Linked DNA regions of Oryzias latipes. The protein of the gene in region 3 purifies or fractionates together with the protein of the main gene of each other region. This does not show direct contact. Links are inferred from orthologs where the notes say so. Each region holds a gene or a part of one and is shown on either strand. Other genes may lie near its edges.

Region 1 (4,402 bases), on a different chromosome or scaffold from region 3:
TGATGTCCTCCCTCCGCGGTGGAGCTGCTGTCGACCCGTCATCATCAGGACCGCGTTTGTGTACAGCATCCACGGCCAACTCACACTAAAGCATTTTAAAGACAGCAGAACTTTAAAATGATTGCTATACATCAACCTTAAATAAACTTATTGCAAAAGAATAGTCCTAATCATGTTTTTGAAGCAACAAAGCAATTTCTGGCTAGCCAAGAGAAGCGTTTTACCCGGGAGCTGAGAGTCTTGAAAATGCCTTGAAAAACATTGCCATTCTTCACTCTTATGTCACAGGTGGACCCCTGCAAGCGAGAGAGAAAACTTATCCACTTTTAGATTCTTTTTCTTAATTATTGTCACGCAAAAAAGTAATATTTGGGTTAAAATAACTCCTTTTGGTCCCACAGATCTTTCTAAAGGGGTAAATTTTGGTCCGGTCAAAGGGTTTTGTGAGCAGTGTAATTAAGTATGAAAAAATAATGTACAAATAAAATTAAACAGGTAGCAAAAGTCAAATTCTCAGTTAACTTGGAGCAACCTGGCATAATCCAAAACATAAGAGAAAACTATAATAAAAAAAAAAACTTAAATATAGAAATATTTCCACACGTTTTGCTTGAATAAAGCCACAATTTCACAAAGATATTTTAGGCAATAATCTAAACAATTTACCACAACAGCTGTGAGGAAATGAAGCATTCTAGCATTGTTGTAGACTCCCTCAAAGACCTGTAAAGGAAAAACAGCCATTATTTTAGTAAAACAGTGAGCATCAAAATTAGAAAGAACATTTTTGGTTTACCCCGGAGGTGAAATTGCAAAAATCACTGAATACTCTCTTTATGCCAACACAGAACTCTTTGACTCAACAGAACTTTAACTCATTAACATGACTTTTCGTCACAGGTTGGCATTTGTCGCTCACAGGATTTTGTTAACCTGTTTTCCCAAATGCAAAACTAATGTTTCAACATTCATTGGATGATTTAATTCCCCATCTTTTTATGGTCTAATGTGGAGCAAAAGATTTCTAACTGATGAGTATTTCTGATAGATGACACTCACAGGAGTTGCCTGGAATGATGGCTTTGCAGAGGCTCGATTCCTGGAAAAAAAAAGGAATTGTTTGAAAGGTTGAAATATAGTTGTCTTCAAAGAGTTCACCGAATCTGTAGCTTAGTTAAATGTTGGTAGGCTTGCATATAGTCTATTCTCTTGATTTAATTTGATAGGGGTGTAGCGATTTATTTTAACGATTCAATTCATATTGTGATTTGTGGTTCCTGATAAGAGTCATAGTTGATATTGGTTTGTTTTAAATGATCAGATTCACTGGCTGATTTTAATCCAGGACGTCATAAACCTAAATAAATAAATAAATAAACACCTGGGTACTAAAAAGTGCAAATAATCCAGATTGTTTGTATTTCCTGCTAGATGATTAAATGCAAATGAAATATGTGTACAAAAAAACAAGTAAACCAGAGTTAATGGCACATCCATTCATATTTTTGCTTCATAAAGTTGAGCCCACTGATTGTTTTTCTTTACAAAAATAATATACGGAGCATTATTAGAAGATTATACCACACTTTGTGGTAACTAACACAATTCAAAGTGTTTCCACAGGCATTTGAATTTTTATTTAACAAAAGAAAGACTAGTTATCTTTCGATCTGGCCATTTAAAGGCGTTTTAATCGATGTGAGAGAAACATTTAGCTTTTATGCCAACGTGGAACTGCGTTACTACTGCCAGGTACAAGTGTTACAAAACGAAGCCACATTGACACTAGAAAACGTCTTCAAAATGCACACCCGAGTGGCTGGTCTGTTAGGTTTACGCGTAAGTTTACTTTTAATGTTTTGTTATAGATAAATATTCAAAGTCGAGATATTTGTCGAAAAGGGATCCTCTTTCTGACAATCCGACACAACCTAACCGCGACTTGCTGTTTGGTGCTTTCAACACACTTAGCCCCACCTTTCTGGTTCAGCTAAATCAGAATAAAGCCTTCTTGTTTGTCCATCCCTGCTGTCAATCACTAGACAATTAATGCAATTGGTTTAGAAAGCAGCTCTGTTTTGAGAGCCACGCCTACTGGTACGCTGCGTTTTAACCGGTAGGCCTTCTAAACACCAGAGAGAATCCTCGGCCTGTCCTAAGGAGGGACACCGAACGGGCCTACCTTCCAGCGGGTGTCCTGCTGCCGCTGTTCATCCCGCTGACTGGCGAAGACATACCGCCGGGCCCCGACGTTCCGTTAGACGTCTTTCTCCCGCCTGCGCCAGGCTGCTGTTGTTTTAGCATTGCGACGCACAAGGCTTAGACAGTACCACTTTATTAGCCAAACCCAATAAACAGGGTGCCTTCCAACGTAAAAATACTAACAAAACCAAATTTCCTTGCCTATATATCACCTATCGTAATAAGCAGAAAGCCGGTCCAACCTTAAAGACCGGCTAGTACTGCTAACAAATATCGACTGTGGCCTAAAATATTAAGGCAAAAAAACTTGAATTAAATACAGGATATACTTAGCCTCTTACCACCAAATATATTTACTTTAAAACCACAAAAGTAAAGTCCAAACTAATACCTAAAACACACTCGGTTCCGTGTAAATATTTAGCGATAGCAACAAGCTAAGTTAGCATTAGCTTTGATCCTCAAGCTCACTTCGAGTGCCTGCCTTCCTTCCTTCGGGATTTACTTTCTTCCCTCCGTCTCGTAACCTTAGCTCCGACGCCGCTGACTCTTCGGTTGAAAAGTTAGTACTTGGCGTTATTGTCAGTTTCCTTACGAGGTTTCAGTTATCAGGCTTCTTATTGAAAACCTGCTGCGGTCGGTCAACACCACCTTTCGGTAGGCTCACTTGACTCAATCCGCGCTCGGCTGACTGGAAACCGGCTGGAAGGGGGAGGGGGCAGAGATGTGCTTTAGCACTTTTGACCTACTACTGCGAGCGGGTACACGGAGTAATTTCTGCACTGATTCAGATTCATTTATTTTAAAATCACAATTTTCTGTCACCAAAGCAGGGGGTTTGATCTGTACACGTGGCAGTATCTACACAAAACACGTTGCTTGTAAAATGTGGCATTTAATATTATTATTATTACACATTTTTAACTCCGCTTTTCCTCATTTTAACAACAGTGACTGCACTTTAACTTTATTTTATATGATTTATACATAATCAAAAACTTTTAAGGACATATTGCATAAAGATGCCAAATTTTGGCTGCGCCTGGATTAGGGGTATTACGGTTTTCAGCTTCAACCATCATGGCGGCGCCCGGGAAGATCATTGGGCGTTTTGTAATTTTTCTTAAAAAAGGCTCTTTGTTTGTCTTTTTCTTAATTTAAAATTGGATAGTTATTATTGACATATTTCTTTTAATAATCAAGAAACTGTAAGTCCTTTTTGTATTTGGGGGATATCATTTATAGTGTGAATAGTATGTAAAAGTATAACATGTGAGTAATAAGCTTAGATCTATAAGAATTGTTGCTCTTATCAGGTCAGTCTGCTGTTATACTGAAGTGTATTATTACTTATAACATTGCCATAGAAGATGTCTGGGGAGAAAAGCAGTTTTGTTGAACTTTTTAAGTGTTTGAGTCTTATTTTGACAGGTATGGATCACACATGAAGCTCCAACCTGTGCGGATGATCCATTCTCTGGTTTCCAGGTGCATCAGTCACCTGTCCAGACAGTGTTATGATGTCATTGTGGTGGGTGGAGGTCATGCAGGGACCGAGGCGGCGGCTGCTGCTGCGAGAATGGGAGCTGAGACGCTTCTGGTCACACAGAAAACACACACAATTGGTAGGATTTTATGAACAAAAATGTATCTTAAATTCTGAGCAGCTGGACGCATATGGATTGTTCCTACTTGATCAATGTTTTACCAGGTGCGCTGTCCTGTAACCCCTCGCTGGGAGGAGTGGGGAAGGGTCACCTTGTCAGGGAGGTAGATGCTCTGGATGGGTTGTGTGGACGAGCTGGAGACTGGGCTGGGATTAATTTCTCCATCTTGAATCGGAGAAAGGGGCCCGCAGTGTGGGGGCCGAGGGCTCAGCTGGACCGCCAGCGTTACAGGGAATTCATTCAGGTATTATACACATACTAATAATTGTCAGATTGACTTTAAATGTCATGACAGACTTATGTGTTTTTCTGCAGGGTGAACTGCAGTCCATCAGTAGATTGACAGTCCTGGAGGGCTCTGTGGAGGACCTACTGGTGGCAGAACCAAATCCAGATGAGCCTGGCAGCCACAGAGTAACTGGGATAAGTTTGGGTATGCAGCACACACATATGACACTAGAATCTGAGAGTGGATAAATTACATTATTTTATTTCTCTTTTTACTGTCAAAATTAGAAAATGTCCTCAACCCA
Region 2 (3,650 bases), on a different chromosome or scaffold from region 3:
TTTTTTCTTTACTGGGGGGAACATGCACAGAGTATAAATAATGGATTTGAACCCAAAGTCTGCTCAGAACGTCTCCATAACATCATGCAAGTCCATCACAGAAATACTGCACCAGGAACAACCAGGCGTACATTCACTTTAGCTTGCAGACACGTCTTTGGTCGACAGAAACAAAACGTGGCGTTCAGGGCCACTCAATTGCAATAAGAAGTTGGCAAACCAACATCTGATGGATATTTAACAAGCAAGCAAAACATTTCAGTGTCGATTAGGGTTCAAAAGAAAAACGGGGGGTAAAAAGAAAGAAAAAAAAATCTAGAAAAATGCACAAACCTTCCATATTATGCTTTTCTAATGGAGCGAGAGAGACAGGAGGAGGGGGAGAAAAGGGAAGAAGAACCACTCTGGTTATGTATCGTCTGAATCTGATGTTGGATCACCAAGTTGTTCTTAAAGCAACACATTTAAAAAACTTTCATGAAAAAACAAAGTTGTAAAAACACTATGAGAAGTCTTCACAGTTTGTCACTTTTTAAAGCATAAAACATCCATAAATTCATATTCAGTTTACTTTTAGGAGTGAAAACAGATGATAAAGGACTCATGCATCCAAACACAGAACCTTTGTGAAAAAAAATCATCACATCATACGGAAGAAAACAAGTTAGCTTTCATTAAACCTGCCTTTCATGCTAACTCAGTGTTAGGTTTATGGCGATCTGAACTCAACAGCAGTAAAGCGCCCCCAGGTGGATCATTTGAGAATGCGGGCGAGTCTCACCTGAACTCCAGGACTGACAGGTGTGAGCGGATACATCTGAGGGAAGCAGACTGGCTGCCCGTACACAGTCTGAGGAGGAGGGACCACGATGGAGGGGCTGGGCTGGCCCTGGGGCCGGGGGGGTGTGGGGGTGTTGGCGGGTTTGGGCTAATAAAAGGCAGACAGGAACACAGAACGATAAGCAGAAACCTCAGATTATCATCAGATTCCATTGAAACAGCGACCTTGATCTGACCTTCTCCAAACAACCGTTTAAGGACTCACAGCACTGCAAGCTGCTCAATAAAAGAAACAGCAGCTGCAAAAATCAAGGGTCTAAACCAGGGGTCGGGAACCTATGGCTCGCGAGCCATATATGGCTCTTTTGATGGTCACATGTGGCTCGCAGACAAATCTTTAATTATAGTTTTTTTTTTTTTTCATTAGACCAGTCCTTCTCGGGCGCGATGCGATGCAAGAGGCGCGCAGTAGTAGCGGTGCTTGGAGAGAGAAATCTGCGCCAGCGCTATCAGTTACTATTATCTATTATTTCACAGAGTTTGTACCAGCTGGAAACCTGTGAATTGACGCGCCTAAAACTACGCGCTCCCGTCTCTGAGAAAGAGCGCGCAGATGCGGGGACGGGATGTGTGAGGGAGAAAGCAGAGGGTGGGGCTGAGGTGTTGTGGGGACAGGCAGCAGGTGAATCGCGCAGGGATTGTAAAAACGTAAAACCCGCTTCCCGTCACTCACTGCAGCGTGTGAGTGTGTGTTTGGCTCCGCGTCTGCATGTGATAAGAATGTCTCACATCTACAGAACATTCAGACCTACGATCACGTTTAAAGCCTCAACGCCTGAACGAAGCAGAAACTCACCACGTATCAACCAGACTAGACCATCAGCAAAACTACCACGAGAAATACTCAGCATTTATTAGCAACAGAATAACAATGTTATTAAAAAGAATCCACAGACTTATTGTACTTTAAAAATGTTGAAATTAAATCAAATGCACACATTCATTTGTGTATTTAGTTTTAAACAAATTGTCGCGGACTGAGTAGGATGGCTGTTGGGCCGCGTTAAAAGTTCTGGAGTTCATTGAACGCGTCAAGCAGAGATCTAATTGGCCCTCAGTTCTGTCGCTCAGCCTGTTGTTAGGTAGTTTGGACCAATGGGGTTCAGCTATGGGCCGAATAAGGAAATGGGAGGGGCTGGAGCGGGAGCAGGGGAATATAAAGTTGGGAGAAGCGCTCTCGTGTCGGCGGGAGAGATTCAGGAGTTGCTGAATTAATTGAACGGCGTTTGTTGCGGTCTGCAGTAACCAGAATAAAGAACTTTAAAAGAGGTTAAGTCTCCGTGCCTCAGTGTGGGGAAGGGACACTACATTATTGTATGGCTCTTTCGAAATTACATTTCAAAATATGTGGCATTTATGGCTCTCTTGGCCAAAAAGGTTCCCGACCCCTGGTCTAAACGTTTGAATCCATCTGTGGATGCGGAGGTTTATAGATCTCTGCACTCTCAAGCTGTGTTGAAACTTAACGTCACACAGACAAGTGACTGACATGGTTTGTTGTGACAAACCTCTAATTTTTACCTTTAGTGTCAGGAAACCATCGTTGTTTTCTTTTACCTTTCTCTTTCATGCTACATGATCAAATATTCCTCATTTTTTATGACCATGTTGTGTAACCACGAAGAATTTAAGGCAGCGGTTCGGATGTAGATCTCCATAGCAACAAACTGAAGCTGCGTTCACACCGAACGCTGCCTCCAGTCAAGCCCATGAAGACTCATTCAAAGGTGCTGCGACGTGCTCTGAGCGTCAGGCGCGCCGTTCTAGTAGCAGCCCTTTTGGGGCGCCACAGGAACTCCGCTTTGGCCCGTGACGTTACATTGGCAGCACAATCAGTGGGTGGAGTCTAAACCAAACATGGAAGAGAATCTTGTTCTCCTGAACTTTATGATATATTTTTTTACTTTTATTAAGATGATAAAAAAAATTTCCTCTAATTTTCGAATCGTCGGACAGAAAGTTGTCAAACTGGGGCCACAGCGAGAAATAAGTACCGCTGAAAATCGGCCGTCATTCAGATGGCGAGGCTCACCGTACTGGGAGAGTCTCTGAATGATCTCATCAACCCCGATTAAAGACGTGATCTGACACTATCTGGATCTCTTCAAAATCTCTAAACATCATCATCAGGTTGTTTCTATTTGGATGTTATTGATGGTGGTTATGTGGGATCCGTCTAATTCCTGGTTGTGAGCTGCTGCAGGATGACACTGACCTGACTGTTGAACCTGGGCTTGAACTCGTTAGCATTTGGGTTCAGAGTTGATTTTCGTACTTGACTGCAGAAAAATAAAAAGAGCAGAATTTCATTTTTCCATTAAAGGGCCAGTCCAGAAACTATTTTTTTATTTGGCAACTTAAATTTCAAGCATATTTTGAAGAAAAATACAGTTCTGTATTGCAAGATCTAAAGGAAACTTTTTTCATTTGGTTTTAAAAAAGGATCTAATCGGTAGAGAAACTTGAGGTTTACCACATGACAGAATATGTTTTACAACAGGAACATAAGCCATTCTTCTAAACTCACTCTTGTACTGCCTCCTTTTTCTCCTCCTTGTCCTCGTGTTTGGATCCGCTCAGTGTAGACGTCTGAACTCCTTGGGACGTCACATCCAGGCCCGTCCTCTTGGCGTCTGCTGCTGAAGGAGATGGAGAAAGGGCAGCAGGGCTATCCGGTTTACTAGCGTTTGTACTGGTAGTGGGGGGAACCGGCGCAGCCTCCGAAGCTTGAGCAGAATTCCCTGCACCATTATCCTCGGCAGCGTCCCGTCCCGCTGCGGACGCTTTGTCTAGAGGAAGATCTTTCGGCT
Region 3 (3,650 bases):
GTTAACCCTTTGACGCCTATAAATGAAAAGATGCATCAAACCCCTTTAATTTAGCAAATACATGAAAGCAAAAACACAACGGATTTTTTTTTCATTGCTGAGAATAATAATTGCTGATAATAATAATAATAATTCAGTCATCAAGGGGTTACACTTTTTATGAGGTTACAATTAAATTCTTATGGTTGCTTGAATCCCAAACCCATCATATCTTTACATTTTTTTCAGCTTCCTATAAAGCAGCTTTGAAAAAATAAAATTCAAACAGAAACAAAACTTTAAACTTTGATGCTCATCATCTCAAATGAGATAATTCATTCCAGGCATCATGTAATTCAGAGATTATATTTATATGCAAATGCATTTTAATGATAAGAGCATCAGTGCAATAACCTGGTTTTGAATTTAAAGTGCATCAATACCTGCTGCTCTGTCCGATCAGATAAAAAGATATTTAAAATCTTCTAAATGAATACATCTCATCTTCTATGAAAGTTGGTTGAAAAGTTGTAAAAGTCTGTTACCTTTAGTGTGATAGGTGACAGCAGCTTTAAGGTCAAAGGAGCCCAAGCTACACCTCCTGCTAGTGTCTTTAGAATGGATCTGTTCTTTAGGAGAGCCAAACAACAGCGTGGTCTGTTGGCCCTGTGCAGACTTGGCACCGTTGTCTTTACTGGAGGTTGACATTGAAGTAATTGCACCCTTGGTCTCAGCTTTAGTCTTGCCCTGGCTACAAGGAAGCAACTTTGTCTCCTCCTCGCTGACCATGCAAGCAGGAGAACAGGGGTTTGATGCTTGGCAAGGGGCACAAGTTCTTTTCTGCGAGTCTTGAGACAAAGTGCAAGATTCTACCAATGACGGCATAGCGTTGAGGCAAGGATGGGTGGTCGTGGTCGTCACAGCCCTAGCCTCGCTCTGAGAAGTCACAGGAGTCTGGTCCTCCGCAGCTATGAGCCCGTTTCCTCCGTCCAGCCCCAAGTTGGGTTCGTTGATGAAGGACAGCCCCCACTGATTCTGAAAGATGTCTCTCAGGGCTTTCTGATTTGTCTGAGCGGCCGGTGGGTCAAGGTGACGAGCGCTGGGGAGCAAAGGTTGCATATTTAAAGGGTAGATTAAAAGAGAACACTTCTGAAGTTCATAGGTTTCTCCATCGACAGGACTGGTTGTAGAGCTACAGTTACTGTCCACAGACGTTGCTACATTCTCGCCACTTGGAATAGATGGAGCTGATTGAAGACTACTAGCAGCAGGAGCAAAAAAGATCCCCACAGTCGGGCAGCAGTTTCCATTTCCAGAAACAGGACCATTAGTAAAGCTAGCTGAGGTGATCGTTTTCATAGCAGACATTGGAACCTGTGACATTCTCACAGGAGGAGGAGCTGCCTCTTCTCCACCTTGAGCTACTTTGAGGTTCTCTTTTACTTTACTTGCATAACTGATCTTGGGAACAATTTTAGCACTGCTATTGTCCACAGGAAAAGCTGGAAGGGGCTTAAACAAAGTCCACGAGTCCTCTTTAGAAGGTGAGGAGTTCTTGCCTTTCTGCTTTTCCTCCATTTTTTTATTAAAAGTGGCAGCTGCTTTGCCGTCAGAGTTTTTCCTCTGACATTCGCCAGGTGCAGCTGACTGGGTTTCTGCTTTATGGGTGGATTTAAAGCCATCAGTTCTACAGGAGAGTCCTTTCTCGGCCGGATCAAGGTTCAAAGCCCTTTGTTCCTGCATACTGTTGCTGGGTTGCGCGTCCTTCTCCTTTTCTTTTGTCACATCAGCAAAGTTCTTGACGTTGTTACACCGGGTCCTGCGTTTCTTTGGGGTGGTGTATCCACCCTCAGAGCCGCTCCCATCGTTATCCTTGCTAGAGTAGCCATTTGTAATTAAGCCACAGTTTACAACACCGTTCTGAAGCAAAGCAGAGTCTTTCTTCTCTGAAGGCTGGGCCTCGTGAGGACTCAAATCTGGGGTCTTTTCCTTCTCATTTTTAAGGTCCATAGTCTTCTTGTAGTCCAATCCTTTGTTGCTTACTTTCATAGCGGGTGCGTGGTGTCTCTGTGTTCCCTTTTGCTTCACATGCGAGTTACTCAAGTGTCTGTTACCATTGCTGCTTGAAGAATGGAGCATACCAACAGCATCAGGTAGGTGTGCGTTCTTCTCCCCTTCCCCGTCACTGACGTTTACTTTTTTATTGCCTGCAAACAGAATTTAAGTCAGTATATGCTGATATAATAGTCTATCAATGATTTCAAAAATATACAAAAGATGTTACACCAAAAGCAAACTCCAATGTGTAACTGAGCCTTACCCCTACACCTTAACCCTTGTGCCATCTTATAGGGTCCAGATGACCCCACCCTTAGATTGACATGGTATCCCTACCACGACAAAGGTGGATAAAGGTGGAGAGGATTTCATTTAATCCGTGGACACCAGTGAAGATCACAAATCATTGAAGAAAAAAAGGTTCAGCGAACTGTCTAGTGGGTCTAGATGACCCAACTCCCAATGTTACAGTGCCTAGGATAGCACAAGGGTTAAAGGCCCTGAAAAGGGGGTAGAAAATGCAATAAACCTGCAACTGTTTAATGCACAAAATATGAGTGAATACACTGTTAAAAATATAGACATTAGGAAATAACATTTCCAATGTGTAACCCTACCAGACTCACAGAAAAACGCAAGTTATAAGATGAAACTGTTCCTAGAAATAAAAAATAACTTCATATTTACACTAAAAATTCAAAATAAATCTTTGCTACTTTAGTTTTCTAGATTACAATTAAGTACAGACTTTGTTTTTTTACACCCTTTCATGCCCTTTGAATTTGAAAAGTCTGCAACACTTCTGCTTACACTTTCATATAAAAGAGAATTGGAAAACCCTTCAAACATGCGGGGTGATTCCATCTTTTCTTCTTACAGAGCTAAATTCACTCAGTTTTCTGGATTTTTTCCACAATGGTTTAGTCCACGACTTTTTTCATTTAAGTAAAAAGGCCTGACATTCAGTAAAGAATCAATACGCCAATGTTTACCTTATAATTAAAAACTGTGGCTTATGCATGACTTTGGTAAAAACAAACAGAACATTTTTAAGAGGCCAAGAGTGGAAAAACTCAACAACTTCCTTATGAGAAAATGTCAGGTCATCATTCTAAAACCACATTGATGATTTGGCTGAACAGATAATATAAAAATAATCAAAGCTATTTTTTGTTGTCGATGTTATAATTGTGAATTTAAAATTGAAAAAAAGACATAACCTAAACCAAAGTTGATAACTGTGAGAAACATCACAACCCTGCATCCAAGTGCACACCTGGATCATAACAACATTCTGAGAAAAGACTAAAGAAAAAAAAATTGAAAATCTTTAACTGCAAGAAACTAATAAAAAAAAAAAAATCTTGTAAGCCATAACGCGCATACACAAACACACGCGCACATATACAAATAATTGGTTTAAGAGCTTTTGATAAGCAGGTGTTCGCTTTATGAAGCTTTGCACAGTCAATGAGTCGGTCTCCAAGTTATCCCCTCTATACAAAAAATCATATGAGAATGCACTTATATACATTCTAAAGCTTTGCATTGTTTACTTCATAAAACCATTTTTAGTACTTTACATCAGCTAAACTACAACTAATATTCAGATC

Evidence for each region.
Region 1: the proteins of nufip2 (region 3) and ataxin-2-like protein purify together in Homo sapiens (affinity purification with mass spectrometry; 4 studies listed by BioGRID and IntAct, counting the BioPlex papers as one, with this or other methods). This does not show direct contact. The link is inferred for Oryzias latipes from reciprocal best matches to the Homo sapiens genes NUFIP2 and ATXN2L.
Region 2: the proteins of nufip2 (region 3) and atxn2 purify together in Homo sapiens (affinity purification with mass spectrometry; 3 studies listed by BioGRID and IntAct, counting the BioPlex papers as one, with this or other methods). This does not show direct contact. The link is inferred for Oryzias latipes from reciprocal best matches to the Homo sapiens genes NUFIP2 and ATXN2.

Annotation. Positions count from the first base shown.
Region 1 is NC_019877.2:7,560,866-7,565,267, reverse strand, and holds the start of ataxin-2-like protein, read right to left. Parts: upstream 2,879-4,402; 5' UTR 2,305-2,878; coding exon 2,183-2,304; intron 1,100-2,182; coding exon 1,060-1,099; intron 724-1,059; coding exon 667-723; intron 297-666; coding exon 225-296; intron 86-224; coding exon 1-85. Other genes in the region: protein MTO1 homolog, mitochondrial, read left to right, coding at 3,647-3,827, 3,914-4,113, 4,185-4,302, 4,386-4,402. UniProt on the Homo sapiens protein: Involved in the regulation of stress granule and P-body formation.
Region 2 is NC_019867.2:7,484,058-7,487,707, forward strand, and holds part of atxn2 (ataxin-2), read right to left. Parts: coding exon 3,368-3,650; intron 3,120-3,367; coding exon 3,056-3,119; intron 929-3,055; coding exon 782-928; intron 352-781; coding exon 334-351; intron 1-333. UniProt on the Homo sapiens protein: Involved in EGFR trafficking, acting as negative regulator of endocytic EGFR internalization at the plasma membrane.
Region 3 is NC_019872.2:16,922,493-16,926,142, reverse strand, and holds part of nufip2 (nuclear fragile X mental retardation-interacting protein 2), read right to left. Parts: intron 2,187-3,650; coding exon 525-2,186; intron 1-524. UniProt on the Homo sapiens protein: Binds RNA.